Sus scrofa: one gene and its partners. The protein of the gene in region 6 interacts with the protein of the main gene of each other region in a pairwise test. Links are inferred from orthologs where the notes say so. Each region holds a gene or a part of one and is shown on either strand. Other genes may lie near its edges.

Region 1 (4,133 bases), about 110 Mb from region 6:
GTGTACGCAAGTGTGTGTTTTCAGAGACAATCATTTTGGTGCCTTAAAGGAGTAGATGGCAGATTAAATGGGTTTCTTGCCTGGAAGAGCTCTTTCAGTCATTTGACCATGAAGGAAAAGAGAATGGTACCTGCAAGTGAAAATGACTGAACTAAAAGGGAAAGTCATTGGCATAACTGAAACTGACTGAAGAATTGATATTTACAATCTCATGGTGAAAAATCCAGACAAAAGGGAGAGCTCAGTGAAAGCGAAGAGAGTATGGTGATGGAGCACATTTCCTGAAAAGACAGAACGAAAGGAAACCTCAAAGGCTTAGTTTACGTTCTGTGGAAGATGGTCACCCTCTCCATTGCACCAGGAAGTAAGGAGGAAAGGATGCTGTTAAGCAGAAATAGATGATGAGTAGGTTATTCAGCTAAGAACACTCCTCCAAAATAAGAACGGAATAAAAATAAAATAACTTGAAGATATTAACTCCCCAATGTTGCTATTTTCATGCTATTTATAAGGATACAGTGATCTAGTTTCTTTTGCCCTGTCCTCTTTTTCTTGGGTGTTCTATTCTGTTTCAACTGGAGAAGCTCTCTTTTATGTGGTGTGACATCACCATTCATCATTATGCCTCCTGACAGCTGCATCAAGTCACTGCAAAGTCACTCTGGTTCCCCCCCTCCCCCTCCCCCTGCCAGGGACAGGAGCCAGAGACCTCTTTTGGGGGCCCTAGAGAGCTCTCTTGGCAGCCCCAGAGAATGCAGCTCATAATTTTCCCAAAATGACTGGAAACAAAGATTTCAATGTATAGTTTTTGTGTCTTGATTTCTATACTGAAAGTTTATTAAATATTTTTTCTTTTTCTTTTGGGGGCAATCTAATAAAAATCATTTTGGACCAGTGATATTTCCTATTGTTCCTGTAATCTGCAGCATAATTTTTCTTTAAATCTATTGTAGATAGATATGTTATGATTTGATTGGCTTTTTCTTCTCTTTTTTTTTTTTTTTGGCCCATGGCACATACAAGTTCCCAGGCTAGGGATCGAACCTTGCTATGGAAATGACCTGAGCCACTGCAGTGACAAGGCCAGATCCTTAACCTGCTGTGTCACAAGGGGACTCCACATTATTAGTACTTTGGCTTTGCCACTTTATTTTTTCTATTACTATTGCAAGTTATACAAATATTTTTTCTATTACTATATACAAGTTATTAAACAAATACACTGGTGGATGAAAGGGTGGGTGGTTTCTTCCTTTTTCACTCACAGCACAGTTTGAAATAATTTGTGTAGAGACCATTGAATAGCCATATCCATGAGTTAGGGAATAGTAAAATGATTTCATTTTGGATAGTTCACTTGTGATCCACAAAGGGTGTTGTTGTATTGGTTTTGATAAAACTTCACAGCCAATGGGAATCTTTTTCAAGTTAGTGTGGAGTAGCCTTAATGCTGGAAATAATCCTGTTGGCCAGGACCCCAGAGCCATACAGATGAAAAAAGGATGCAGGAAACTCTGTTGTTTACACATGTGTCTGTAACACTGAGCCGCTAGAGCAGCCCAGCAAGCCCAGAGGGTAAGATGCTTAATAACCTTGTGGTTTTCTGTTTAATTTTTATATTTTCCTGGTGGGGCCGAGTGTGCGGTATTCTCAGAGCAAAGAGAAAGACAGTTGCTTATAAGATGCAGAACAAAACTACTGTAGGTCTGAGAAACAGGGATTTAGAGTTTCTTCTTAAAGTGGACTTGATTTCTTCCATCCCTCTTCCATTTTCCACGTTGGTATTATTTATCCTAACAGCTTGTCAGACATTTCCTTTTTTTTTTTTTAATAACTGTATACTAACAAAGGTAAGATTTTCAACTCTAAATTTAGACAGTAATATGATATGTTGGTAATAAAACTTATTTTGTTGCTCCAAACTAATATGATTTAGTCATTGTGTTTGAAGTAATCTATATTCTTAGAGTAAAAATAAAATAGAATTGTTATGCAAATCCTCAAGTTTATTCCTCATTCATTTAGAGTTCTCATTTTGCTAGTCTGCATGCTGAGTTTCTATCACTGTTCACAAAAAACTATACTTCCAACTCAGCCCTAATCTTGATTTCTTGATATAAGTTATCTGGGTGTGGAGAAATACATAGCATAAAATACTAAAAGCTTTCACATAATAAAATGAAATAGGCATTTAACTCTAGAGAAAGTAATTACAGAATTGAAGAAAAAAAATCTCTGGAAACCATTGGCAGTATTGTTTATGTTTTCTGCAAAGATAAATTATGAAATGAATGTTGAGTGGGTAAATCTGTTAAATAGAAATATAAGAGAGATATCCTTCAAAAATACAATTAGAACATGTTACATACGGCATTGAAATATTCAGATATATTTCTTGATATTCTCATTTACGTAAACATTAGTTTTCCTATTTTCTAAAATTATCTGAATACTCTTTTGCTAATATTTTTATGGGATAGGGTATTGCTACAACTTTTAATTTTTTTGCTGTTCATCATTTTATTGTCAAATATCCTAACACAGAAATTAAATGGTCTTTAATTTCTAACTTTTCTCCATATTTTTACTTAATATGGAAGTGAATCTTGAAAAATTAGTGATACAATACCTGTACGAGCTTTGTGTGATTTTGCAACATTGATTTAAAATATCAATGTCTACTTGAATCTTTAGGAGAATGTTTTATATGAATTCCTTTTTTCCCCAAACCTTTAAAAAATATTTTTCTTGTGTGTTAAATATCATTTAGTAGTCTCTCCTTTGCACTCTTCATTTGTTTTGATTGTATTCAGTATTTGCTTGATCTCTGGGACATAACTTCCAGGTACCTCACATGGGTGTGGCCTTGAAATTTGTGAGGGTTCCATCTAATTATTGGAGCCACACATATAATGACAATAATTATTTAAACTAGAAAGTGATCTTAGGCCATTTCCATTTGAAGAAGAAGTATATCTCCCATGCTTATATTACAGGGGCAGTTGAATTCTGTCCTATTGCCAAAACCTTCAAAATTTCCTTTTTAGTAAGATTTTAGAGAAGCCTTGAAAGAAAAGTCTGGCTATGTAAGTTGAGACTTAAAAAATTAGAGGAATTTAGATAGTTGCTGAAAAGCAAAAAGACTCTTCTACTTTGTAGAAGTAGTTGAAGCAAAGGGTTTTGAGGCTAAATTAATCTAAACCAGGAAGAGTAGGGATGAATAATCCACCTTATTGGAGCAGAAAAAAGTACACTTTGTGAGGAGCAGACATTGTGTTCAAATATAGAGCTGGATAGAGTTGTGGCGCATCTTAAAACTCATATAGATTAATTTTGTCTGTATACAATTGGGGCAAATGCAAGTTTCTGAGGAGATGGAGTATTTTTACTCCTCCTCCTCTTTCTTCATCATCTTCTTCTTCATCATTGGCAATACTGCCAGCACGTAGTTGTACTTCTGTGTACAAGATAATTTACATACCATTTTGATAGATGTGTGATCAAATTAACTTCATCTCACATGTTATCTTTATTTTACACATGAAGGGCTCTGATGTTCAAAAATGTCAAATGATTTCTTGAAAGCCACAGATATAGTAAGTGGAGCCAGGATTCCAAACAATGTCTTTCTGGCTTCAGAGCTGTTCCACTATGTTGCACTGGTATTTTAAGAATGTGAATCTGGTAGGAGTTAGCAGGATGGTTTGGAATGGGCATTGGGGTAACAGAGTGCAGGGAGGAGGTTGTGAGAAAGTAGGCAGATTGGTTCCAGCATTTGTAAACCTAAACTGATCACAGTTCCCTCAGATGGTCCATTCTTGCCTTTGGTAATAGAAAGAAGGAATAGATACTGAAAATAAGCAGTGTTTACATTTAATTGGCTGTTCTCATATTCAATTCTTATGCTTTCCTCTTTTTTTCATTTTCTTGAATGTTTTATTCACATTCAAAAATATATATTTTGATTTCTGAAAGGAAGTTGCATCTCTGATTTTCATCTAATATTACTTATTCACAAATAAAATATGTGAAGTGACTGGAAGTGATATTGGGAACATACTGGATCCCTTTGTTTCTCTTTGATGGTGTGATATGAATGGATGCCTAGTGACCACACCTTAAAATTATGGAGA
Region 2 (3,500 bases), on a different chromosome or scaffold from region 6:
GGCCAGTGGCGCCTTTCTCACATCTCTCCAACCCCAACTTCCTATCCTACTTTGACCTTCTTACCTCCTCTTATAAAGACCCTTGTGATGACACTGGGCCTACCAGGATAATCAGATTAGAATTTTTTGTTTGTTCACTTATTTTACCTTTTTACTTTTTACCAAAGTGGTGTGGAATTTGGGCTTTTGTGATTGATTGATTGATTGATAGACAGATAGATAAAGAAATAATAATGAAAGCATTCCTGTTGTGGCTTAGCAGAAACAGACCCAACTGGTATCCCTGAGGACACAGGTTCGATCCCTGGCCTCGCTCAGTGGGTTAAGGATCCGGCGTTACCATGAGCTGTGGTGTAGGTCAAAGATGTGGCTCAGATCTGGCATTGCTGTGGCTGTGGTGTAGGCTGGCAGCTGTAGCCCTGATTTGACCCCTAGCCTGGGAACTTCCACATGCCACAGGTGTGGCCCTAAAAAGCAAAAAAAAAAAAGAAGAAGAAGAAGATAAAGAAAAGAAATAATAATGAAGATGATGCCAGCCAACTTTTACCGAGTGTTTACATCCTGAGTACAAGCATTACTTCTTTTAACCATCAAGCAATGTGACGAGGCAAGGAGCTATGACCAATCTCATTTTATAGATGAGGAAACTGAGGCACAGAGAGGTGGTATGGTCACTTGCCCAAGGTCTCACAGCTGGAAATGGAGCAGCCTGATGAGCACCCAGGCAGCCTGACTCCACAGCCCATTCCTACCTTATACTCTGCTGTGCAGGTGCCAGGACAGTGCCTGCAGTGGCCTGACAGGGGGTCAGGGGTGCTGACATGGGATGGTCAGCCTTTGAGCCAACTCCTGCGGGGTTTCTCTCCCGCCCTTCCAGGGAGCTACTCTTTGTCCGTGCGAGACTACGACCCCCAGCACAGGGACACGGTGAAGCATTACAAGATCCGGACCCTGGACAGCGGGGGCTTCTACATCTCCCCACGGAGCACTTTCAACACCCTGCAGGAGCTGGTGGCCCACTACAAGAGTGAGTCCCGCCCAGCCTGCCTCCCAGTGCCTGCCTGGCTCCCGGGAAGCCCGCTCGAGGGAGCACTGCGGCCTGGGAGGCTGCTGAGGTTTTCCTGACCCTCCCTGGATAAATAGTTGCTTTGGATTCTCCTGAAGTCTTAGGTCTGTTGAGCAGGAGGGCAGAGGTGGCATCTCACCTATCCTCTTGGGAATGTCCCCCAGGTGGGCGGAGGGAGAGGGAACTGTTTGGAATATGAGCCCAATGCCAAGGACCAAGCAGGGAGGCTTCCAAGGGGAAGCTCGTGCCTGGCTTGGAGCTGACCACTCTCGACTGACCAGGGGCTCTGTTCCAGAGGGGAGCGACGGGCTTTGCCAGAAGCTGACCGTGCCCTGCGTGTCCTCCAAGCCCCAGAAGCCTTGGGAGAAAGATGCCTGGGAGATCCCCCGGGAGTCCCTCAAGATGGAGAAGAGACTTGGAGCGGGGCAGTTTGGGGAAGTCTGGCTGGGTAAGGACCCAGGCCCAGGGCAGGGAGGGGAGAGGGAGGTCCTTGCTTCCGGGAACAGCCTGAGGCAAAGTGTGACTGCCGTCCTGGGTTGAGGGGAGATTTGAATAGCAGCCATAAAGGAGCAATTCCTCTGATAGCAAACCAAATTGTCCTGCCATGCAAACACTGATTTGCCTTTAAGGCTAGGCCTGTCCTGGGGTCAAAAACTCTCTTCTGGAAAGCAGAGGTCCCAGATGAGGAATCCATCCCCCTCCTAGGGAGCTGGGACAGTTTGGGATTGAGATAACCAGAGCATCTCTTAGGATGATGAAAATTAAGCATGCACAAGTAGGGAGTTCCCATTGTGGTTCAGTGCATTAAGAAGCCCACTAGTGTCTGTGAGGATGAAGGTTTGATCACGGCCTCACTCAGTAGGTTAAGGATCTGGCATTGTCACAAGCTGCAGCATAGGTCAAAGATGCAGCTCGGATCTGGCATTGCTGTGGCTGTGGCACGGGCTGGCAGCTGCAGCTCTGATATGACCCCTAGCCTGGGAATTTCCAATATGCCAATGAATGAGGCCCTTAAAAAAAAAAAAGAATGTGGAAGTATAGCTTGGAGATTTCCAGGTGAGTTTAGTGTTGGCAGCTGATGAATAAGCTGTTTTGAGTCCTGCCATGTGCCCAGCACCATGCTAAGAAATGGCAGAGCACCCAAAAGGCATATTCCACCCCTGCCATCCTGCCTCTAATAACCTGAGAATAGCAAAACCTGCTTTGCAGAACTGTGGGGTAGACGCAATGCCTGGCCAAGTGCCTGGTGCTCCGCATTGTGTTTATACTCCACCACGTTCCTAATGGGAACAAAGACAACTTAGAGAGATGCAAACAGTTCAGCCAGGAAAAAAAATGCATTTAAAAATCTATGTATTTGAACTATATTTATCGAGAGCCTACTATGTTCCAGGCACTAAATAAGAGAATGTGGCAGAGAAAGTATGGTGAGGAAGGTAAGACAGATTGGACTGATGATGCAGGAAAACAAAAAAATACTACATAAGGGCTTAGACTCTTACTACAGGAAGACCTCAAATCTGGGTTAGAGCTTCCTGGCAGCCAAAGCAAAAATGGAAACATAAACAACAATGAGATTTACAAGATCGACAAGATGAAGCAGGGGAAGGGTGGGGGTGAGGTGAGGGAAAAACATGTGCAAAGTCCCTGTGGGGGGAGGGGGAGCTGGATGCTTGAGGGACTGAATGGCATGCAGGCTGACTGGTGCACAAAAGGCAAGGGGGACTTGGTGGATGATGAGGCAAGGTGGGCAAGGCCAGATTACGCAGGGCCTTGTGGACCCTGATAAAGCTGGTATTTAATTGGATGACAGTGTTAATATTAAGTAAAACATTTTAAGCAAAGATGGGGTGTGTGTATAAGTGTTGACAAAACAAAGGTGAGTGTGTGTATGAGCAAGTGACCTAATCCGAGTGATGTTTTAAGGTTCTTCTTTCATCCCTGCAAGAGCCTTTTGAAGGCTGTGCTGATTTCCACTTTACAGATGAGGAAACCACAGCTCAGAGAGGTTAAGTAACTTGCCCAAGGGCACAGAGCTAGGAAGTGGTGGTCCACCCTTCCAGATCACATCTGTCTGAGGCCAAAGCCCGTGCCTCCCCTTCCCTCTCTAAGGACTGAGAAGGGCAGGGAAGGCTTTCTGGAGGAGGCCGGTCTATAGCCGGGTTTTCGGGATAGTGGGAAAAGAGCATGGGTCCTGACCGCCTTCCCTGCGCCCCGTCCCGCTCCAGCCACCTACAACAAGCACACCAAGGTGGCCGTGAAGACCATGAAGCCCGGGAGCATGTCTGTGGAGGCCTTCCTGGCAGAAGCCAACCTGATGAAAACTCTGCAGCACGACAAGCTGGTGAAGCTGCACGCGGTGGTCACCACGGAAGAGCCCATCTACATCATCACGGAGTTCATGGCCAAAGGTGCTGCATGCTGGGGGCTGAGG
Region 3 (4,188 bases), on a different chromosome or scaffold from region 6:
TTGCTTCTCAAATATGATTAATGAATTGTTGCAAAAGGATTATGAAATAAGAATGGAACTTTCTACTCATTTCCTATAGTGAGTAGAAAAAATAACTATAAGCAGATAACTAGCTGCATGCCAAACCAATCCCTTCTACTGATATTAAAGAATTATAGAGGCAACTTGGAAAAATTGAAATTGAAATTTTAGCTTCCTTTCTTTTTTTTTTTTTTGTCTTTTGTCTCTTTAGGGCTGCACCTACGGCATATGGAGGTTCCCAGACTAGGGGTGTAATCAGAGCTACAGCTGCCAGGCTACACCACAGCCACAGCAATGCCAGATCCGAGCCACATCTGCAACCTATGGCACAGGCTCACGGCAACACTGGATCCTTAACCCACTGAGCAAGGCCAGGGATCAGACCTGCAAGCTCATAGTTCCTAGTTGGAATTATTTCTGCTGCACCATGATGGGAGCTCCATGAAATTTCAGGTTTCTAAAGTTTGACTTTAAATTTAAAATAAATGAAGTTCAGAGGATTAACTCTTAAGATGGCCACCTCAATTATGAATTTTTAGGAATGTGTTGGATTATGAAATTGGTGTCTAAAAACAGTATGTTTTTCACAGAACGCCTTCTATGAGATTATTTTAATGCCCATGAAACACACTGTTTTGTGTGGCATCTACTTCTTGACACTGTACTTTTAGTTTACTTTCCATACTTTTAGTTGAATGGAACTAACAAACAGAATTCTAGACTAAATCAGGAAAATCACTGAGAACAGAATTATGCTTTAGATTTTTCTTTAATTGTGTCTTTCAGTAGGGTTTTTTTTTTTTGTTTTTTGTTTTTTTGTCTTTTTGTCTTTTAAGGGCTGCACTCACGGCATATGGAAGTTCCCAGGTGAGGGATCTAATCGGAGCTGTTGCCTGTGCTGGACTATACCAGAGCCACAGCAACACCAGATCTGAGCCGTGTCTGCAGCCTATACCACAGCTCACAGCAACGCTGGAGCCTTAACCCACTGAGCAAAGCCAGGGATCAAACCCACAACCTCATGGTTCCTAGTGTGATTTGTTTCTGCCGCGCCTCAACAGGAACTCCAGCTGATTTTTATGTCACCTCTCATTTGACATTACTCAGTTCTTATCCCACCGTCATATAGTATTTATGCACTATTACATGTTCTTGACATTTATTTCTATATTTTATTGAGTAGACACACTTCGCAAAAAATTGGCCAGTGCTTATAATATAATAAAAAATACACTGATACAATTCAAACAGCCAGGTGTTATGAGACTGCATTAAATAACCTTGTGCAATTACTTAAATCACATCAACATTTAAAATGCTACAATAAATAGTTTAAAGAATTGTGAATGAAGAAGGAAAATGATTACTTGAGCTAGTGATTATTTAAATAAGACAAATATTATTTCTACTGTATTTTTATTTTGAATGTGGAGTCACTAAAAGCCTAACCCTTTGCCTTCTACAGGTACTTGAAGGAGAATACAGACTCATGTATTCCAATAGAGTACTACACGTCCTCTCTCAAATAATGTATTTTTGTGATGCATCCCATCTATCAAATAGATAGGTATAGACACAGAACAAATTTAGGTGCGTTCCTTACTTTAAAATAAATTATCAAAAAAATGCGTAAACTGAACTGTGAGACTGGATATATTTTGCATGTTGTGTTGATTGCTTTCTAAGAAGGTTAATTAAAGGAGTGAGAGAGAATGATACTTTGATATTTTGGGGAATGAAAGAGAAAATAATTATTAATTCAGTGCACCAGAAGTAAATCAGGACTATTCCAGGCAGACTGGATTGTATGAACACCCAGTATATTAAGCTCCCACTTGGTAAGCATTCAGTTAATCAAATAAACATTGACTGAGCACCAGAATTAATTGTTGTTGTAAGCAACTTCTATATACAAGTATTGAGAAAAACTGTAGTTTATCATGAAACAATACAAGCTAACAAGTTGAGTTCCATAGCAAACAATGACATATGCATTTATATTAGCATCCTCGGACTGATAATCTAGTTTTTATTAATTTTTGTTATTTGGTTTTAAAAGTGTTTAGATCGTAGTATAAAGGATAGGATCAGGTGGGGTGAAGTTTAGAGTTTAGAACACCATGCGTGCATCTTTGCAATATCTCACTTAAAAATGTTGATAAACAACCAGTAAGACATGTAGAATGGCTAATGTTTTTCCCATCTTGGGCATGTGGAAACTAAAGATCAAAATGATTGGAAAAATTATAGTTAATTAAAGAAACTCCTGTAACCCTGGTCAGTGTTAGGTACACTACTAAGAACTTGGCTGATACTCAAAATAACTCTTTGGGTAAATGTCATCTTCTTTATTTTATGGATGAGTAATAAGAGGCTTACACAAATTTAGATGTAATAAAGGGAAGATCTAGAGTACAAAACTCTAAGTGCTCTAATTCCATTATTTCACAGATTCTCACTTGCCCCACATGTTTTAAGTCATTGATACAAAGTTGATGTAAACTTGGGCTTTCTGACTGCAAGTTCATGGTATTAACCTTGTTAATTCAGCCCCGAATACCTCAGTCACTGTATCTTACAACTCACAAAATGAGGTTGCCATACCTCATTTTCTGTTAAATATGAAGCAACTATATTAAAATAGATTGTGTAAGATGAACACATATGGCTTAGTCATTTTCCTTATTTATGCATGTTACCAAAAATCTTTTGTTTTTTCTCTTCTTCTTGTTATTGAAGAAGTATTGTTAAAGCCAAGATTCAGATTTTGTGGGGGCTTGAGATGATAAAACTTTGGGTCCCTTCTTTTAAGAATTGCACAAAATCACTACTGCAAATTTAAATACAGGACCTTGGAAAAGGCCCATGTATTGAAGATCCCTGAAGTTTAAGCTTATGTCTGAAGTTTTATATTAATTCAGAAAGCCTAAGACTAATTTTGTGGTAGCTGGTCTATAAGTAGATTTAAGAATGAGACTAACACGTTTATGATACATTTTGACAAACTGGTCAATAAAATCTGCCAGTTTGTGTACCTAATCTAAAACTAAGACATATATTACCATGATAATTAATAATAACTAATGTATATGGATAATGCATTTTGTAGGTTATTTACGAATAGAATATGGATTAGAGAGCAGCTGTTAGATTGATGACATCTCACACTTGCTCTATTGCCCCAAACTTCATCATCTTTGAATAAATTCTCTCCATACTACTCCTATTTTGAAACAGTGTTGTCAATAGTTAGTGAATACTATTCAACAAAAGAAATAAAAGTATTTCTGAGAGAAATAAGAAGTACACGAAAGATATACATTAAATAGTAATAAAATCAATAGTTTCTACCTTGATGAAGTATTATCCTGGGGATGCAGTCACAAATAATGTCAGTTTAGGCTCTATTTGTATCTCTCCCTTTGGTCTTAGTGCAGTGATTAATGAAAAATAATAATGTCTTGATAGATTTCACTAAATATTTGACATTCTTCTCCAAAAATCTTTTGAAAACTGTTAAAAATACTTAGTGCACAAAGATGGATAATAAAACTGCAGGACTGGATAAATTGCTAGTTGATTGTCATCACAATATTTTAGTTTGTCTTAAAACTACATATTAGCATTTAAAGTGTTTAACACATAAAAATAAGTTTAAGAGATTTGGACAATAACATTGAAATTTACCAAAATCGTGTGGTTGTTAAGAGTATTTGCTCTTAGTTTGAATTTGTTTTTTATAAGTTCAAATTTATATATTCTTGTGGGTACCTTACAGTTTAGGAGGATGGACTTTCATTGGTTTGAAAACTATGTATTTTTTCATAAATATATTTGATGTGTATTAGTATAAATAAGTATAGGTAGTAATATTGTATCAGCATGAATCATTTGTAAGCGCACACAAGAAAAATTAAAAGTAGAAGTAAAAAGAAAGACAAATGCCTTTGGGGGTCAGAAATGGAGGCGAAAGATTTAACAGTAAACAGGAGACTTGGGCCATTGTCTGCTAGGCTCTGCATAAGCAAATAATCAGTGGCTGCTGGGGTATATGACTGGTGTGATAATAAGTATATTATAATACCATTTTGCATGGTAGAGGACTGGCACACCGCTAGGGCACACAACTAGGGCTTATGTGAAGTTGCAGAGAGAAGCGGAGAGAGC
Region 4 (4,199 bases), on a different chromosome or scaffold from region 6:
GGGTTGAGAGTTGAGGCCTGGGAAGTGTGGCATGAGCACACAACTGAGCATTTCCCAAGGTGTGTTCCAAGTCCTTGAATGCTAGAATTCAAGGAGGAGGCTTTGCGATAACTAACCACTTCACCTCTGTGTGTCTCAATTCGCTTACCTACAATCTTAGGGAGATATAAGAGATGGTCCAGCTGACCTCGGCAGTGCCTCTCAGAATAGCATTTTCTGATCCTGCGAAGAGATGAAAGGAATCGATTGAACTCAAGTCAGCACTTGAAGGGAAGGGGGGGCGTGGTGTCAACGTGTGGGGTATCCTCTTTCCCCCACCCCTCTCCCCCAGGGCCTAAAGTTAGAAGGAGCATTGTTGGCCAGTGAATGGGACCTGGCCAGACGGGTGTTATAAAGCTTCTCCCAGGCAGGAGGATAGGAGATGTCGCTTGGATCATAAGCCACATCTTAGAGCTCTAGAGTGTATCACTCCTCAGGGACCACAACCTAATACCTTCGAGGGACACGGGGACCATAAAGGGGCCTCAGAGAATGTCGCCTGTAGGGGGAGCACAGGTACACCTGCCGCCTCCACAGTCTCGGAGTCTCCCTTTTCTGACGGATCAGGGGGAGGGGGGGAATGCATCTGTGGTTCAAGATGCTGTAACTCCCTTAGTCACCAGATTCATAGTAAATGATTCAAGCTCTGCTGCGAACAGCATAGGCTGGTGGTGGTGGGAGGGGGGAACCAAACAATAAACCAGAAGTCCCCACTTTCCAGCTCATGGACCACCACCCCTGCCCCATCACTCCGCGCGCCTTAAAAAAAAAAAAAAAAAAAAAAAAATTTTTTTTTTTTTAACTCTCTTGGCCTTTCTTCCTTCCCGATTTCTAGTTCTGTTGTGCACTTAGAGGCCGATAGGCTGGATCCTGCCTTCCGGGTGGAATTTAAATGTATATGTATAATTTTGCAGGACTGTTGCGTCATCGTAGCAGTCTTCGTGGTTCCCCAGGAGGCCTCCACGTCTTCTCCCAGCATCGGGGGCTTTGGACGCTTCTGAGAGCTGCCGGCACTTTCGCGAGGAGCCCTCGGCTCCTCCCGAGTGCTGGTCTCCAGCCCCCTCCCCCAGCCTCACCTTCCTCCCGCTCGCTCTTCCTCGGCTCCTCCTCCTCGCCCCCTCCCTGCAGCCCTCGCGGGGAGTCAAGCTAGGGTGAGCCCGCAGGGCCGAGCAGCGGCTGCAGGCTGGGCGTGGGGCGCCGGAGCCCGCGGGCGGGCGGGCGGGGGCGCCGGGCGGGTGGCCCGCGATCGGGGGAGGCGCCTGGGCCCGCCCTCCTCTCGGGCCGAGCCTGGAGGGGGCCTGGGCCGGCGCGGGGCGGGGAGAGCCTCCTGGCCCCTCCCCTCCGCTGCCCTCCCCAAAGTTGCCGTCTCCCCGGGGGCCGGCCAGTCTTATGATCCAGCGGATCCTCCTGGGGAGGCCGGGCCGGGGAGAGGGCGCGGGCGCCGAACAGCGGGGGCAGCGGGCAGGCGCAGCGACCGGGGCCCGGGCGGGGATCCGGGCAGCGACCGAGGCGGCGGCAGCGCCCCGGGCCCGCCGCCCCTTCCCCTCGGGCAGGGGGAGCCGCTGCATGGGGCCGGGGGGGCGGCCCTGCTGCGCGGAGCGGCGGCGGCGGCGGCGGCGGACCCCCCAGGCGGGCTGGGGCTGAGCCCGGGGCCGGGGCGGGGGCTCCGGGGGGACCATGCCCGGAGGCCGGCCGGCCGCAGCATGGCTCACGGGCCCGGCGCGCTGATGCTCAAGTGCGTGGTGGTCGGCGACGGGGCGGTGGGCAAGACTTGCCTACTCATGAGCTATGCCAACGACGCCTTCCCGGAGGAGTACGTGCCCACCGTCTTCGACCACTACGCAGGTAAGCCTCGGAAGTGCTGACTAAGGGGCCGCTCCCCGGGCCGGGAACTTTGGAGCAACTTTGGCTGAGCCCCCTAGCCGCCTCCCCTGCGCGCGCTCCCCGCCCCTCCCCCGCCGCGCCCTCCGCGGGGCGCCGGGCCCCACCCCCAGGCTTTCCCTCTGGCAGCCCCCCGCCTGCCCGATCCACCCCTCTTCTCACCCCCGACCTCTGTGCGGCGTCCCTACGCCCAGTACTTCCTAACCCCCTCTGTGCCCCGGGCCGACCTCGTTGACCTTCCTAGGGCCGCCTTCCTTACTTCCCAAAGCCCTGGGGGAGGAGGGTGAGGGAAACGTGGCTATGGGACTTGGGAAAAGAGATTGGGCAGCTGGGGCGCCACATCGCACCCCGGCCTCAGGCCACTTCCCGGTGAGCCGGGCACAGGGGAAAAGGGGTGGCATCCCCGGAGGCGCGCCCGCGTGCCTCCAGCTGGGTTGGGAGAGGAGGGTCCGGGTGGGGAACGAAACCGCCCCGAGCCTAGATAATTGTGAGCTTCTCTCCCCGCCCCCACTTCTGCCCTTGCAGTCAGCGTCACCGTAGGGGGCAAGCAGTACCTCCTGGGACTCTATGACACAGCCGGACAGGTGAGTGTCTGGGCTTCTGGCCGACACCCCCCTCCTTTTCCCCAATTCAAGACGGTTGCGAAGGGCCTTGGAAACTGTCTAGGAGCGAGGGTGTGTCTGCGAGGTTCCCTCTGGATCAAGTATCTCATTTTTTAAGTCAGCGAATTAGGAAAAGGAAAAAAAACAAAAAACAAAAAACCTTGGCAACATCGGGACCAGCCCACCCCACGTGAACCCCTGGGCTGAAAGTTTTTGCCTGTGTGTGCCTTCTGTCTGGTGCCTGGCGTGTGGGTCCCAACTCCTGTTGCAAAGTGGCAGTGGCCAATCCTGAAGCGCCCTTATTTTTAGTTGCCGATGACCAGGTCTCCCCTCACAGCCTTTGTCTGGTCCCTCATTGGTGAGTGGTCTGCCCGCCAGAGGAGCCTGATTGGTGGGAAATGGCATCATCTAATATGATGGGAAGGCATTTGGTCCTGGTTATGTTTATTACAACATCATTGCACTCTGGGACTCGAGTCCCTGAAAACGTAATTTGTGGTGTTACCAGAGGACCGCAGGGGAAAAAAAAAGAAAAGAAACAACCATCCAGCCACTCCCTGGGGCAGGGAGAGAAGGAAGGGTCAGGAGTTCAGTGTGAATCTTGGAGGAAGAGTTTTTTTTGTTGTTCCCTGGCAAGGCCAGGTGACTTTGTCTGGGTTTTCCTTGGGAGAGATTATTGTGCAGAAAGAAAATGCACCCTCCACACGTCAGCCTCGGACCATTATTTGCAAATTAGAGGTGGCTTCTAAAGGATTAAGATCTCCTCTCTGTCTCTGTCCCAGCGCCACCCTCCTCCTAGACCCATTTTTGCTGTGGGCCTAAGATGATGTGTGTGATGAAGTTTTGCAAAATCCAGCCCTGTGATTAGACCTGAAAATGCAGGCAGAAGTTTCCACGTGTCGTCCAGACTTGAGATCTTGAGGACATATGAGCTGCTGAGGGCCTTAGAGAGTGTCTTTAGGGGATGTCCATAGTAGAGTTTCCTTATCTGTAAGATGAAGTTTTAAAAATTCACACCATTCCCCTGGGCATATATGTTAGATGCTTAGCACTGAGTGTGGCACACACCAGGTAGGTCAATAAAGAGGAGCTCTCCTTTGTAGCTCTTCTAGATTTGGGTGTCAAAACTGTAGTTCCAGGTTAGTCTGACAAATGTCTTATTGTGGGGGGGGCATCTTGATGCATCCCTCATTTCTATACTATGAAGTGATAGGAGCATCTGAGAACTGAGAAACCATTGGCAATATGAGATGCCTGAGGCCACCCCCTTTTGCCAAACTGACCCAGGTCGGTACAACCACTTCTTAGCTTTCCAAGGGTTGTTTTTCATTGCCTGCCTTGTACTTACTCTCATTACCAGCTAGGAAGAAGGGCAAGAGGCAGAACCCATTCAATCAAATAAGACCAACTTTTAAGCAGTGTAGTTGATAAACAACAGGTTTATCAAATAAGACCAACTTTGAAGCCGTATGGTTGCTAAACAACAGGTTGAAATTATTGGCTGAAAGAAGAGCTTTTTGAGACTCATGTTGACTTTTAACTTCTCTCACTATGGCCTCTTCTTCCCTTTTCTTTGTTGCTTGTCACCGTGACCATTTTTTGACCACGAACTTTATTCAACAGGACGTGTGTATGTCAGAGCTGTTCTGTGCACATTCAAATCTGACTCATATTTAC
Region 5 (4,016 bases), on a different chromosome or scaffold from region 6:
CTCATTTACAAATTAGAAAACTGAGGCGGAGACACGATGACTCCCACAAGCTCTACAAAGCTAGTACCAGAACCAGGTCTAACACTCAAGTCTCTCAATCTGGGACTCTCCACCGCAAAACAGACTTCTCCGTCTTTACATTAAAATTAAAAAAAAAAATTTTTTTTAAGGAAGTGGCCGGGTTGAACATTTTCTCATATTTCTCCAGAACATCCTCACGATAACGTTTCAAAATGCATTTAAGGTTGGATCTTCTACAGGGAAGGAAGATACGGAAATGGATTTTCAAAGGTGAGTCTGGTTAGTCTAACAGCTGAGCTGGGTGGGAAACCCTGGTCTAAGCTTCCCCTCTTCTCCTGGTCTCTTGCCTCGGTCTGATTGCCTCTCAGTTAAGTAGATATAGAACAATACTTAACACGTTTAAGAGTTGAAAGTAACTATGTTTGTTAGACGCTATCCTAAGTGCTTTTCCTGGCTGAAGCCTTACATTCCTATGAGGCAGATTATCCGCATTTTAGATATAAGAAAACGAAATAGCAGAGAGCATAAATACCTTGCCCAAAATTTTGCTGCTAGAAAGCAAGGGTTAGTGTTCTCAACTCCAGAGCCCGCATTTTTAAGGACTTAGGTTATCCAGCCTGAACAAAATTGCACATTGTGTCCAATTTTGAAAATGAGCAAGTTCTTCGCGATACATTGTCCAAAAACCAAAACTGCATTCGTTTGGGCAATGTACTTGATTCGTTGTTGTTTTTGAGAGCCATATCAAAGGAAAAGAAAATTAATTTTAAAGTCTAAGGAGTTTTTCCAGTGTGTGGTCTTCCGTGCACGGAGTGGTCTTCCAGGAGAAAACATGAGAAAACACCTTGAAGGCCACCAATTCAGTGTGCGAAGATGAGTTGGAGTGGTGCGGAGGAAGGACGAGAAGGACCAGCATCCAACTGTCGATTCTGCTCCGCATTCCCTTCTTGCTACCGGGGGAGGAGGGCAGGTGGGCGTGGCGGAAGGACCGCAGGTCCATTCCCAGAGCGTCATGCAAATGACATGCAAATCAGCGCGTGTGAGCCGGAGTCTGCAGTTTGGGTCGAGACCCGGAGCGCTCCACTCCCAGTCCCTCGCATACACGCGCGTTTGCGCTCCCATTTGCTCGCTCTCTCGCCGGGCCGCCCCCCCCCCGCCCCGCCCCGCCTGGGACTCGCCTCACCGGCTCCCCAAGCCGCAGCCGGTGGCAGATTGAGCGCTGAACCCGCGCTGCGCGCCCGCGGCCAGGGCGCCCCAGCCGAGCACGGTGCCTCGGCTCCCGGGCCGCCTTCGCCGCGCGGGTGAGTGAGCCCGCCCCACGCTTTTGTCTTGTCTCGGCCCTTGGCAGTCACTCTCCGAGGGCGGGGATCCGGGGTCGGGACCCTCCCTCAGGAGTCTGCCCCCGGCCCCACTGTTGGAGAGGGGTTCCTGAGGGCGGAGAGGAGTTGGGGGAGGTGGCACAAGGGGTGACTCCAGCTTGTCGCGGCAACCCAAGTTCTCTTTTGGAAGGTGAGGTGCTTGGGGACAGTGATGCGGTTATCATCCGAAGCGGTATCTTTGATTTGAGGAGTGCAAATCGCCGCCAGCCTTCAAGGAAGAGAGGTGGGCTCTTCTCCTAGCCCTTGTGGGAGGACTTGGTGACTGCAGCTGCGGGGGTAAGGGGCGGGGATGCCACGTGAAAGTCCTCCCAGCCTAAATGCAAGTCTGAGAAGGTACGGGAGTGGAGGCAGACTAAGGGTCTCAGGCAAAACTGGGGCGTTGGGCGTCGCAGTTCTGCTCTCATTCCCTGCTCCTCACTAATGTCCCTCGCCTGTTCTGCCTTCCTGCCTTCAGCCAGAGTTCCATGGTTAAAGGACCTTTGTATGCAGATCACTGCGGTTGGAAAGTTTAGGCTAAACTAATTCCCAGGTGTTAGCTGTCAGTGGTTAAGGCAGAACTCCTCCCTGGAACTTGTGGCTACTCTTCAATACTCAAAGGACTGAATTTTTTAGGAGTGGTATTGCAGATGCAAAGAGGAGCTGATGAGGGGAGGTGTTCTAGCATTTTGTTGTTGAGGGGCACGCCCTCTATATAGTAACAGGAAGGAGAAAGACCCAGTCCTTTGAGGCCTGGAAGGGGTAAAAGTGGTCATTGTAACTGAGGGAAGTTGGTGGGGGTGGGGGCGCACCTGGGCAGTGGGAATAGTGCCAGGTCTCAGACCACTGGTTTTCACCATCCCTATTCTCCCCAAGTGCAAAGAGCAGAATATGTGCAATTCCCCCCATCCCTACCCCCAACTCACTCCGTTGCTACATCCCCCTTCCAGCTGGGGCTGCAAGTTCTTTCCTGCCTTAGTGCAATCTTTTGTCAAAGTGCACACCTTTTCAGTAAGTTATTTGCAAGTGGGGGCTTGAGAGGATCATTCAGGGAACTCCTCACATTTCAAAGCCCCAGAGATCCATACAAATCTCTGGAGGAACTGTAAGTGCTTCTGGTAACCTTATTGGGTCCCCAAAAACTATTCTAGGTTCCAGTAAATAGTTGTTGGTTTTTTTTTTCCCCCATTTCATTTCCCTCTTCCCCTCCATCTCTTTACTTTTAAATTCATGCTCCCCTTGATCCCCTTCTTTCTTTGGTGATCCTCTGTCTTAGTCTCTTTCCCTGCCCTGCACCCTAGAGAAAGTGACTTTGCTGGTACCATAATGCCCTCGGCTTGAAGGCTCATGGTGTCCTGAGTGAGGCTGGCCTTTTGTCTTCCATTCTAAGTGGGCCAAGAGCCTTTAGCCAGAGCAGCCTAGAGGCTTGGTCCTAGTTGGGGAGTGGCTGGATGCTCACTACTGGATTGGGTAGAGGGTACCCTGGGGACTTGCACAAGAGCCTTTTCCCCAGGATGTGCATGTCTGTCCCCTCACCCACAGATGATACGAAAAGATGCTGGTTCTGATACACCAGTAGGCATGGACTTGGAAAACTGCTCTACAGTGGGAAAGGATTTGTGTGTTTGGTTTCTTCACTTGATCTTAGCCAAAAGGCTGAGAAGCAGTGTGTTTGATTGCTTTTGTGCAGTAATTAGCTAGCTGGGGAAGAGGTTGCTGGGGCCTTGGAGTGGTTTTCTTTATATAAGGTTTGCTGGCCCTCTCATCAATGAGACTATTTCCTCAGGGGATAGATCTTGGGGGACATGTACAGAGCAGACTAGGTTCTGGGGAAGGTCCTGATCTAACTGGTAAGCTTAAGTGGACCCACCTGCTGCCTGGACCTTACGCAGACAGGTGCTGTCACTCTAGGGCAGGGGCTTCTGGATGGCAGCTGCAAAGGAGTCTGCTGGGAAGGCTGGTCAGAAAAGGAGGTTGGTCCCAGGTGGTGCTGGGGGGAGAGAGGCCCTTGCAGTGACAGAGGTAGGGGTGGCGTTTTGGTCCTAGCTGGGGAGGTCCTTCCCCAGTCTTTGAGGAATGGATTGTGATTGCTCTGAGGTCACTGTGTTCTCAGTATTTACAAGAATGACCCCTTGCTGGCCCCCCAAATACAAATCTGAGTCTGCGAAATAGAACTAGTTGGTTTCTTGGCTCTTTGCCTTTTAAGAGATTCAAGAAGTGGCAATTTGAGAATGCAGCCCAGCCTGGGGGTAGGGGTGCAGCAACCCCATGAACATGTGGGGTCTTATGTAGCGTCTTTCTGAGAACAACACTTTCTTGATATTCTGGAAATATACACCAAGGCCACTTGGAACCCTAACTGCCCTACCCCCATGTCAACCAACAAACTCTGATTGGGGAACTGTTCATTCTTAAAACTTCCTGTCCTGTTCATTCTGTGAATGTAGTGAAATTTAGAGACCAACCCTTAGAAAGTAACCTTGCCCAACAGAAGACATTGTCCTCTCCCAGCTTGACTATTGTGTCGTTTTCCTCTGACCGCCAGAGAGTGCAGCCAGAGGGCAGGAGGAAGGATGTTTGTATGGAAAATATACAAGTGGACACTTGGGTGGCATGTGGGCTTGGAATCCAGAGTGAAGG
Region 6 (3,500 bases):
TACTAATGAACACCTCTCTAATTCTGTCAACCCTATTCTTGAAGGAAAAAACCAAAAAAAAAGCATCTTAAGTACTCTGGATACGAAATATGATCCCTGGATATGAATCTGAACTCTATAATGTATTTGTTCTGCAACGCTGAGTAAATCATTTAATTTCTAAGAAGCTTAGTCCACTTATTTTAAATAATAAAGTTGGGCTAAATGATTTCTAAGGACCCTTCAGTTCTAACATTTATGACTTTAAAGTTGATCCACTTCTAGTACTGTTTGTTCTGTAGCACTTCATATTTGTACAGTGTTTTAGTCATTAGTGATGTTCTGTTTCTAAGTTTTGAACACTTTATATACATTAACATACTTATTAATCCTTACAGCTCTCAGATAAAGACACTGCAGCACAAAGAACTTAAGTAACATACTCAAAGGTATACAACTGTAAAGAAAAGCAAATAAAAATTTTTTCCAGTAAATCTGGTTGAATATCTTTTATAAAAGCTCAAGTCAAAGGAAACTAGTATCTATATATAAACACTTTACTACCTGAGAAACCTCCTAGGAAAGTATAAGGCATTCAATAGATTCAAAAAGGTAACAACTGATAGATCCAATTTTAGTTACATAAAGAGAACTTACTTGCTGGGAAAGAATGGTTACAGCTTCTTTATGCTTTGTGTCCCTTAGATTAACTCCATTAACAGCCAGAATTGCATCTCCAACATGCAGCCCTCCACATCTGTCAGCAGGTTGCCCTGGGTGGATCTCAGAAATGAGGATTGGAACGCCATGTTCCTTTCCGCCCTAACCAGGGGGGAAAAAAAAAAAAAAAAAAAGGCAGTAAATTAGTTCACCTTTGTGTAGTCAGACTATTCTGATAAATATTTTCCTATAGACCTATTCCAATAAGCACCTATACCGTCTCTATAAATGCTGAAACACTACTTGCTACTTAAGTAATGATAAATCAAATTGTTATGAATATCAAAGAGTTACCTCTAAGTAAAGTGATTAATATCATACATGTGCTTCTTAAAATGCATTCCAGAGCCAAAAGAAAAAAACAAAACAAAACTGAAAAACAAAAAACCAAAACAAACCTACAACCCAATTGGCTGAGCTCTCTTAAACATAAATAAAAATATCTTAAGTACTAGTAGTCCACAGCACTATTAGAATTTATCAGCTCTAAGTCACTATGAATAGTAAGACAATTACTTTATGTACCACAAAAGTAATTACAATATGAACCTCAATTTCACAGGTGTTAAAATGTGAAAAAATGTGCAAGCAAAATCATTGAAATGAGTACTTGATACATTTTACTTTCTAGCTTGCAATCATAATTGTGTGTGTATATATCTTAATTTTTCCTACTAAAACTTAATGCTCTTTGAGGGAAATGTATTCAAAAAGGGAAGTATTCAATAAATACCCATTATTTCTTTATTGTAAGAAACATTTCTACATTAAGCAATGCCAGAAAGCCAATGAACTTATGCAGTACCTAAATACAAAGCCATCTTATTCATTCATCTGGAACAAAGCACTGAATGGCAAAATGACTCTAAACATATGTATTTTATGTTGTCCAAGACAACAGTTTGTAAAGGCATCAACTTTAAAAAAGAAGAATGTCTGGACCCAAGAGCCACTGAAATCTGATAGAAATGAAACAAGAGATAGTAAGAAATACTCTAGAGAAAGGAACAGTACTGGCTGGAGCCATTTAGCACAGAAGAAAACAGTCATATCAATTCCCAAAAGCTCCTCCTACAGGCAGCACAGAACTAAATGACTTGAGTCATAATGAAAAAGATAAACAATGATTTCTAAAGTAATACTTTTACTACTTCACGGTTATTAGGAATATTTACGTACCCCTCAAAAAAGGTTTACACGAAAGTGTTGGTACCCACAGGGATAAATTCAGTTATTTAGAAAATACATTCAGGAGTTCCCGTTGTGGCGCAGTGGTTAACAAATCCGACTAGGAACCATGAGGTTTCGGGTTCAGTTCCTGGCCTTGCTCAGTGGGTTAAGGATCCGGCATTGCCATGAGCTGTGGTGTAGGTGGCAGACATGGCTCAGATCCCTTGTTGCTGTGGCTCTGGTGTAGGCCGGGAGCTACAGCTCCAATTAGACCCCTAGCCTGGGAACCTCCACATGAGGCGGAAGCGGCCCTAGAAAAGGCAAAAAGACAAAAAACAAAACAAACAAACAAACAAAAAAGAAAGTACATTCAGAATACTTTACTTCCCGATGATGTCCAAAAAAGGGGCATGATTATAATAGATAACTACAGAAAAGGAGACTGGAAGCACTACTTCTTACTGTAATTGAAATGCCAAGGCCTTCATGATCTTCCTTAAGAAGAAGAACTTTTCTAATTGGTCCAACTCCTTGGCTTTTCTTTAAAGAGTCTTGATCCTTATTGAGTGAAAAAAGAAAAAAATTAGTACCACATAAGTAATAATCCAAACAGAGTAATCCATAGTATTACAGCTTGCTTTTAGAAATATTTATTAATTTCCTATAATAGATACACAGTACAGTGTTAAGAAAGTCATTAACAGATAAAATGGAAAAGCAAAAATAGTTGTTCTGTTAATATGGTGAAATGTACAGATGATTTTTCTCACCCCCTTGTTAATTTCTTTAATACTGCTACAACTCTTTTTAAATTGAAGGACATTACAAAAGAAATTATTGCCAGGAATTAATTGATAAATAAATATCCTCAATAAGTAAGAGTAGGTAACTTTATCTTCATAGGAAAATATCCTAAAGATCTATATCCATTTCAACTGATTTGTAGAACTGAAAAACAAAATGCCAGCTGGATCATTAATTACTTTTTCATTCCTTTGAGTTCTGGAGTCTACCTCTTAAATAAAGGACCTTGCTCCATTAATAATTCTTTCTTGGGTAACTATACTCTTTCCTTCTCTACAAGCTCCTTCTTAATTCAGCTACTTCCTAATTCAAGCCTCATACAGCTTTAAAATACTGACCATGTACAAACAGAAAATAAGACAAATAAAAACTCCTCCATCACCCATTATCTTCTTTACCTACTCTCCTCCCTCAATCTTTCCTTAACCTTCACACAAAGCTAATCCTAGCTACAATAGCTTCCTGGCCTCCCACATTCAGTACTCCAACCCTGTAATTAGGGTTTTGCCCCTACCTGCTCCACACAAACTGGCTTCCCTACAGTCACTGGTAACCAAGACGGCTATTTCCAATGAATCCTTTATAGTCACTACCTTATTTGAACCTTACAGAAAGCTGATAGTGTTCATTACATCCCATCCCTGAAACCCTGTCTTTTCTATTACACTACTTTTCTAGATGCCCTGTATCTGACAGCCCTACCTCAGGCTCTTCCTTTGGTGATTCATGTCCTTCTTCTCCTACTCCGTAAAAGTCTCCTTACGTCTTTTTACTTTCTATATACTTTCCCTGAGTGACTTAATCAATTCCATGATTTTAATTTTTAT
Region 7 (3,346 bases), about 220 Mb from region 6:
CAGGCCAGCTCTCCTTCTACCCTCCTCACCCCAACTATACCTGGCCCTTCGACGACATCATCGTCTTTGCCTACGCCTGTCAGGCTGCCGGTGAGGACAGCTCGAGCCTTGCTTCCAGGCCTCTGGGCTCTTGCATGTGCTGTTCCTGCTGCTTTGCATGCCCTTCCCCACTCCGCAGCTCATCTTGTAACTTCTGTTTGTCCTTCAGGTCTGTAGCCTCCCTTCCTTCCTTTTGAAAATTTTTCTCTTTTTTCACTTTTTAATTTTTATTTATTTATTTATTTTTGGTCTTTTTGCCATTTCTAGGGCCTCTCCCGTGGCATATGGAGGTTCCAGGCTAAGGATCAAATCGGAGCTGTAGCTGCCAGCCTACTCCAGAGTCACAGCAATGCGGGATCTGAGCCGCGTCTGCAACCTATACCACAGCTCACAGCAATGCTGGATCCTTAACCCACTGAACAAGGGCAGGGATCGAACCCGCAACCTCACGGTTCCTAGTTGGATTCGTTAACCACTGCGCCACGACGGGAACTCCATTTTTCACTTTTTTAAAGTTTTCTTGAAGCATAGGATGTTAACTTCAGGACTGAGATCGAAAGCATGTGCAGACAGGCGTTCCTGCTGTGGTGCAATGGCGTTGGTGGCATCTATGCAGCGCCAAGGATGCTGGTTCAATCCCTGGCCTGGTTCAGTGGGTTAAAGGATCAGGCATTGCCAGAGCTGCAGCATAGGTGGCAGCTGCAGCTGGGATCTGATAAATAAAAACTAAAAAATAAGGTATGGGCGGGCATTAGAAGGCAAAGAGAGCAGGACAGAGCGTTTCAAACAACAGCAGGTGCAAAGGTCCTGTGGTGGCAGGGCACACAAAAGGCAGGTGTGGCTGGAGCATAGTAAGCGAGAAGGGCCTGGTGCAGGCTGAGGCAGGAAAGGTAGGCAGGGGCCAGCTTATGTGGACCTGACCAGCTGGTACTCTAGACGCCTGTCGAATGAATAAACATCTCAGCAGAATGGTCCTTAGATATTATTTGATCCAAGCCCTTTCTCCCTCCAGCCCCACAGGTGAGGATGTGAGTTCCAGAGAGGACTCACGTGTTGGGTCCTGGGCAGGACTGGGCCTGAGACCTCTCAGCTGGGTCCTGAGAGCCCCACTCGGCCTCTCTCCACAGGGGTCTCAGTGCACGTGTGCAACGAGCACCGTTACGGGTACATGAACGTGCCTGTGAAATCCCACCAGGGGCTGGAGGATGAGAGAGTCAACTTCATCCATCTGCTCTTGGAAGCGCTGGGTAAGGGCTGCCTGCTGCTGCTGCCCCCTGCCCTCCCCTACCTGCCCCTTGTTCTAGGCCCGGCCCTGGCTGGGCAGGGGGCTGGGGGCTCAGCCTCCCCCCAACTCATTTCCTGACTCTAGGCGAGTCCTTTTTTCCCGCTGGGCCTCCGCCTGCCCATCCATATCATGGAGGCAGGTGGATTCTGTGATCTGCTGGGCATTCTGCCGAGGGGGCAGGAATGAGGCTGGGGTTGGAGGGGGTGCCTAGAACTCCAGGGTGCAGACTCAGGAGTGGGGAATGCTTTCTCTGCAGTGGATGGGCCCCCCATGTGGGCCTCGGCTCACGTGTCCCGGCCCCCGAAGAGGCCCAGCAAGATGGGGTTTGATGAGGTACGTCGGGATTGGGGCCAGGAGGTGGGGGGGGCTCCCGCCTCTCCCCTCCCCCCTCGCACCCACGACCCTGCCTCCTCCAGGTGTTTGTCATCAGCCTGGCCCGCCGGCCCGACCGCCGAGAGCGCATGCTGAGCTCACTCTGGGAGATGGAGATTGCCGGGCGGGTGGTGGACGCCGTGGACGGCCGGTGGGTGAGGCTTCCTGCGTGGGGACAGGGCCCTGGGCAGCTGGGGGGCCAGCGTGGTCCCTCAGAGCTCCCTGGGGGCGGGAAAAGCGGACGATGCGTTGAGTGAGTTTCCTGTTCCAGGAGGTATTCAAACAGGGCCTGGGTACCTCTGTCTCAGGGTCCAGGGGAGACCAGATGGGACAGGATGCCCTCCCTCAGCCCACCCGAGGGAGAGGGGACAGTGCTTCAGGCCCAGGGTCTGGAGCTCCTGGGCTGGGGTTCCAGCTCTGCTGCTTACCAGCTGCGCCGCCTCCAGCATGTCGTCCTGTCCCTCCACCTGCTGCATGAGGGCGAGAAGCTGTGCTTTTCTCTTAAGGGTTTGTAAGGGTCCAGCGAAGGCCTGACACGTAGGAAGTATTCCAGAGGTTAATAATACCTTCATCATTATCGTCAGGGTTATTCTTTTCCATTCTGAACTTAGATCCCTGATGGGTGGGGGTGGGAGCAGGCCAGAGGTCACCCAGCCCCATAGGGACACTGCTATTTGCTGCATATATCCCACTCTCTATATTATTGTTATTACTTTTTAATGTTTTCGGCCATGCCCATGGCATGCAGTTCCTGGGCCAGGGAGTTCCCATTGTGGCTTGGTGGTAAAGAACCCGCCTAGTAACCATGAGGACGCAGGTTTGATCCCTGGCCTTGCTTAATGGGTTAAGGATCCGGCGTTGCCGTGCACTGTGGTGTGGGTTGCAGACATGGCTTGGATCCTGCGTTGCTGTGCCTGTGGCGTAGGCCGGCAGCTGGCAGCTTTGATTCGACCCCTAGCCTGGGAACTTCCATATGCTGCAGGTGTGGTCCTAAAAAGAGAAAAAAAAAAAAAAGAAGTTCCTGGGCCAGAGATGGAACCCAACCACATGTAGTGACCCAAACCACAGCAGTGACAATGCCTGATCCTTAACCACTAGGCCACCAGGGAACTCCTGTCCCAGCCCTTTTAACTGCAAGATGGCCATCATTTGCTTAGGCCTCTGCCTAAGTATCTGCCACGTGCCCGCATCTTTCTGGGGTGTCTCCCACTCAGACTGCCACCCCCTCCCCTGGGGGTCTCTCTCTCTCGAGGCAGCTACGACACCCAAGGTCCAGTCACTGATGGCTCCGGGCCACATGAAGCAGGAACAAAGGCTGAAGCCTCCTGCAAACCAAACTCCAGTGTGACTGGCCCCACCTTGCAGGGGCCAGGTGCCCCTGGATGGATCCTGGGGGCTGGGGGGGCACCACTAACCCCATGACACCAACTCCCTCAGGATGCTCAACAGCAGTGTCATGAGGAGGCTTGGCGTGGACCTGCTCCCCGGCTACCAGGACCCCTACTCGGGCCGCACGCTGACCAAGGGCGAGGTGGGCTGCTTCCTCAGCCACTACTCCATCTGGGAGGAGGTGAGACACCCCCCCACACACTGCCCTGTCCACTGCTCGTGCCAGTACTTGTGTGACCAGTGGGTGACTAAACAGACTGA

What was found.
Region 1: the proteins of GOPC (region 6) and CCDC102B interact in binary tests that used the Homo sapiens proteins (3 or more experiments, as listed by UniProt). The two-hybrid records come from large-scale screens. The link is inferred for Sus scrofa from reciprocal best matches to the Homo sapiens genes GOPC and CCDC102B.
Region 2: the proteins of GOPC (region 6) and HCK interact in binary tests that used the Homo sapiens proteins (3 or more experiments, as listed by UniProt). The two-hybrid records come from large-scale screens. The link is inferred for Sus scrofa from reciprocal best matches to the Homo sapiens genes GOPC and HCK.
Region 3: the proteins of GOPC (region 6) and DPYD interact in a two-hybrid assay, tested with the Homo sapiens proteins (2 studies listed by BioGRID and IntAct). The link is inferred for Sus scrofa from reciprocal best matches to the Homo sapiens genes GOPC and DPYD.
Region 4: the proteins of GOPC (region 6) and RHOQ interact in a two-hybrid assay, tested with the Homo sapiens proteins (2 studies listed by BioGRID). The link is inferred for Sus scrofa from reciprocal best matches to the Homo sapiens genes GOPC and RHOQ.
Region 5: the proteins of GOPC (region 6) and MYLK interact in binary tests that used the Homo sapiens proteins (3 or more experiments, as listed by UniProt). The two-hybrid records come from large-scale screens. The link is inferred for Sus scrofa from reciprocal best matches to the Homo sapiens genes GOPC and MYLK.
Region 7: the proteins of GOPC (region 6) and CERCAM interact in a two-hybrid assay, tested with the Homo sapiens proteins (2 studies listed by BioGRID and IntAct). The two-hybrid records come from large-scale screens. The link is inferred for Sus scrofa from reciprocal best matches to the Homo sapiens genes GOPC and CERCAM.

Annotation. Positions count from the first base shown.
Region 1 is NC_010443.5:153,930,297-153,934,429, reverse strand, and holds the start of CCDC102B (coiled-coil domain-containing protein 102B), read left to right. Parts: upstream 1-1,333; 5' UTR 1,334-1,575; intron 1,576-4,133. UniProt on the Homo sapiens protein: During interphase, forms fibers at the proximal ends of centrioles to maintain centrosome cohesion. During mitosis, dissociates from the centrosome following phosphorylation to allow centrosome separation. Contributes to CROCC/rootletin filament formation.
Region 2 is NC_010459.5:35,736,073-35,739,572, forward strand, and holds part of HCK (tyrosine-protein kinase HCK), read left to right. Parts: intron 1-877; coding exon 878-1,027; intron 1,028-1,361; coding exon 1,362-1,514; intron 1,515-3,294; coding exon 3,295-3,477; intron 3,478-3,500. UniProt on the Homo sapiens protein: Non-receptor tyrosine-protein kinase found in hematopoietic cells that transmits signals from cell surface receptors and plays an important role in the regulation of innate immune responses, including neutrophil, monocyte, macrophage and mast cell functions, phagocytosis, cell survival and proliferation, cell adhesion and migration.
Region 3 is NC_010446.5:120,151,335-120,155,522, forward strand, and holds the start of DPYD (dihydropyrimidine dehydrogenase [NADP(+)]), read left to right. Parts: upstream 1-1,388; 5' UTR 1,389-1,611; intron 1,612-4,188.
Region 4 is NC_010445.4:94,009,861-94,014,059, reverse strand, and holds the start of RHOQ (rho-related GTP-binding protein RhoQ), read left to right. Parts: upstream 1-1,399; 5' UTR 1,400-1,742; coding exon 1,743-1,884; intron 1,885-2,445; coding exon 2,446-2,504; intron 2,505-4,199. UniProt on the Homo sapiens protein: Plasma membrane-associated small GTPase which cycles between an active GTP-bound and an inactive GDP-bound state. In active state binds to a variety of effector proteins to regulate cellular responses. Involved in epithelial cell polarization processes.
Region 5 is NC_010455.5:136,508,662-136,512,677, forward strand, and holds the start of MYLK (myosin light chain kinase, smooth muscle), read left to right. Parts: upstream 1-1,216; 5' UTR 1,217-1,322; intron 1,323-1,524; exon of another isoform or gene 1,525-1,530; 5' UTR 1,531-1,623; intron 1,624-4,016. UniProt on the Homo sapiens protein: Calcium/calmodulin-dependent myosin light chain kinase implicated in smooth muscle contraction via phosphorylation of myosin light chains (MLC). Also regulates actin-myosin interaction through a non-kinase activity.
Region 6 is NC_010443.5:44,273,864-44,277,363, reverse strand, and holds part of GOPC (Golgi-associated PDZ and coiled-coil motif-containing protein), read right to left. Parts: intron 2,428-3,500; coding exon 2,332-2,427; intron 802-2,331; coding exon 637-801; intron 1-636.
Region 7 is NC_010443.5:268,841,044-268,844,389, forward strand, and holds part of CERCAM (probable inactive glycosyltransferase 25 family member 3), read left to right. Parts: coding exon 1-90; intron 91-1,166; coding exon 1,167-1,286; intron 1,287-1,580; coding exon 1,581-1,657; intron 1,658-1,740; coding exon 1,741-1,847; intron 1,848-3,133; coding exon 3,134-3,266; intron 3,267-3,346. UniProt on the Homo sapiens protein: Probable cell adhesion protein involved in leukocyte transmigration across the blood-brain barrier. Does not express any beta-galactosyltransferase activity in vitro.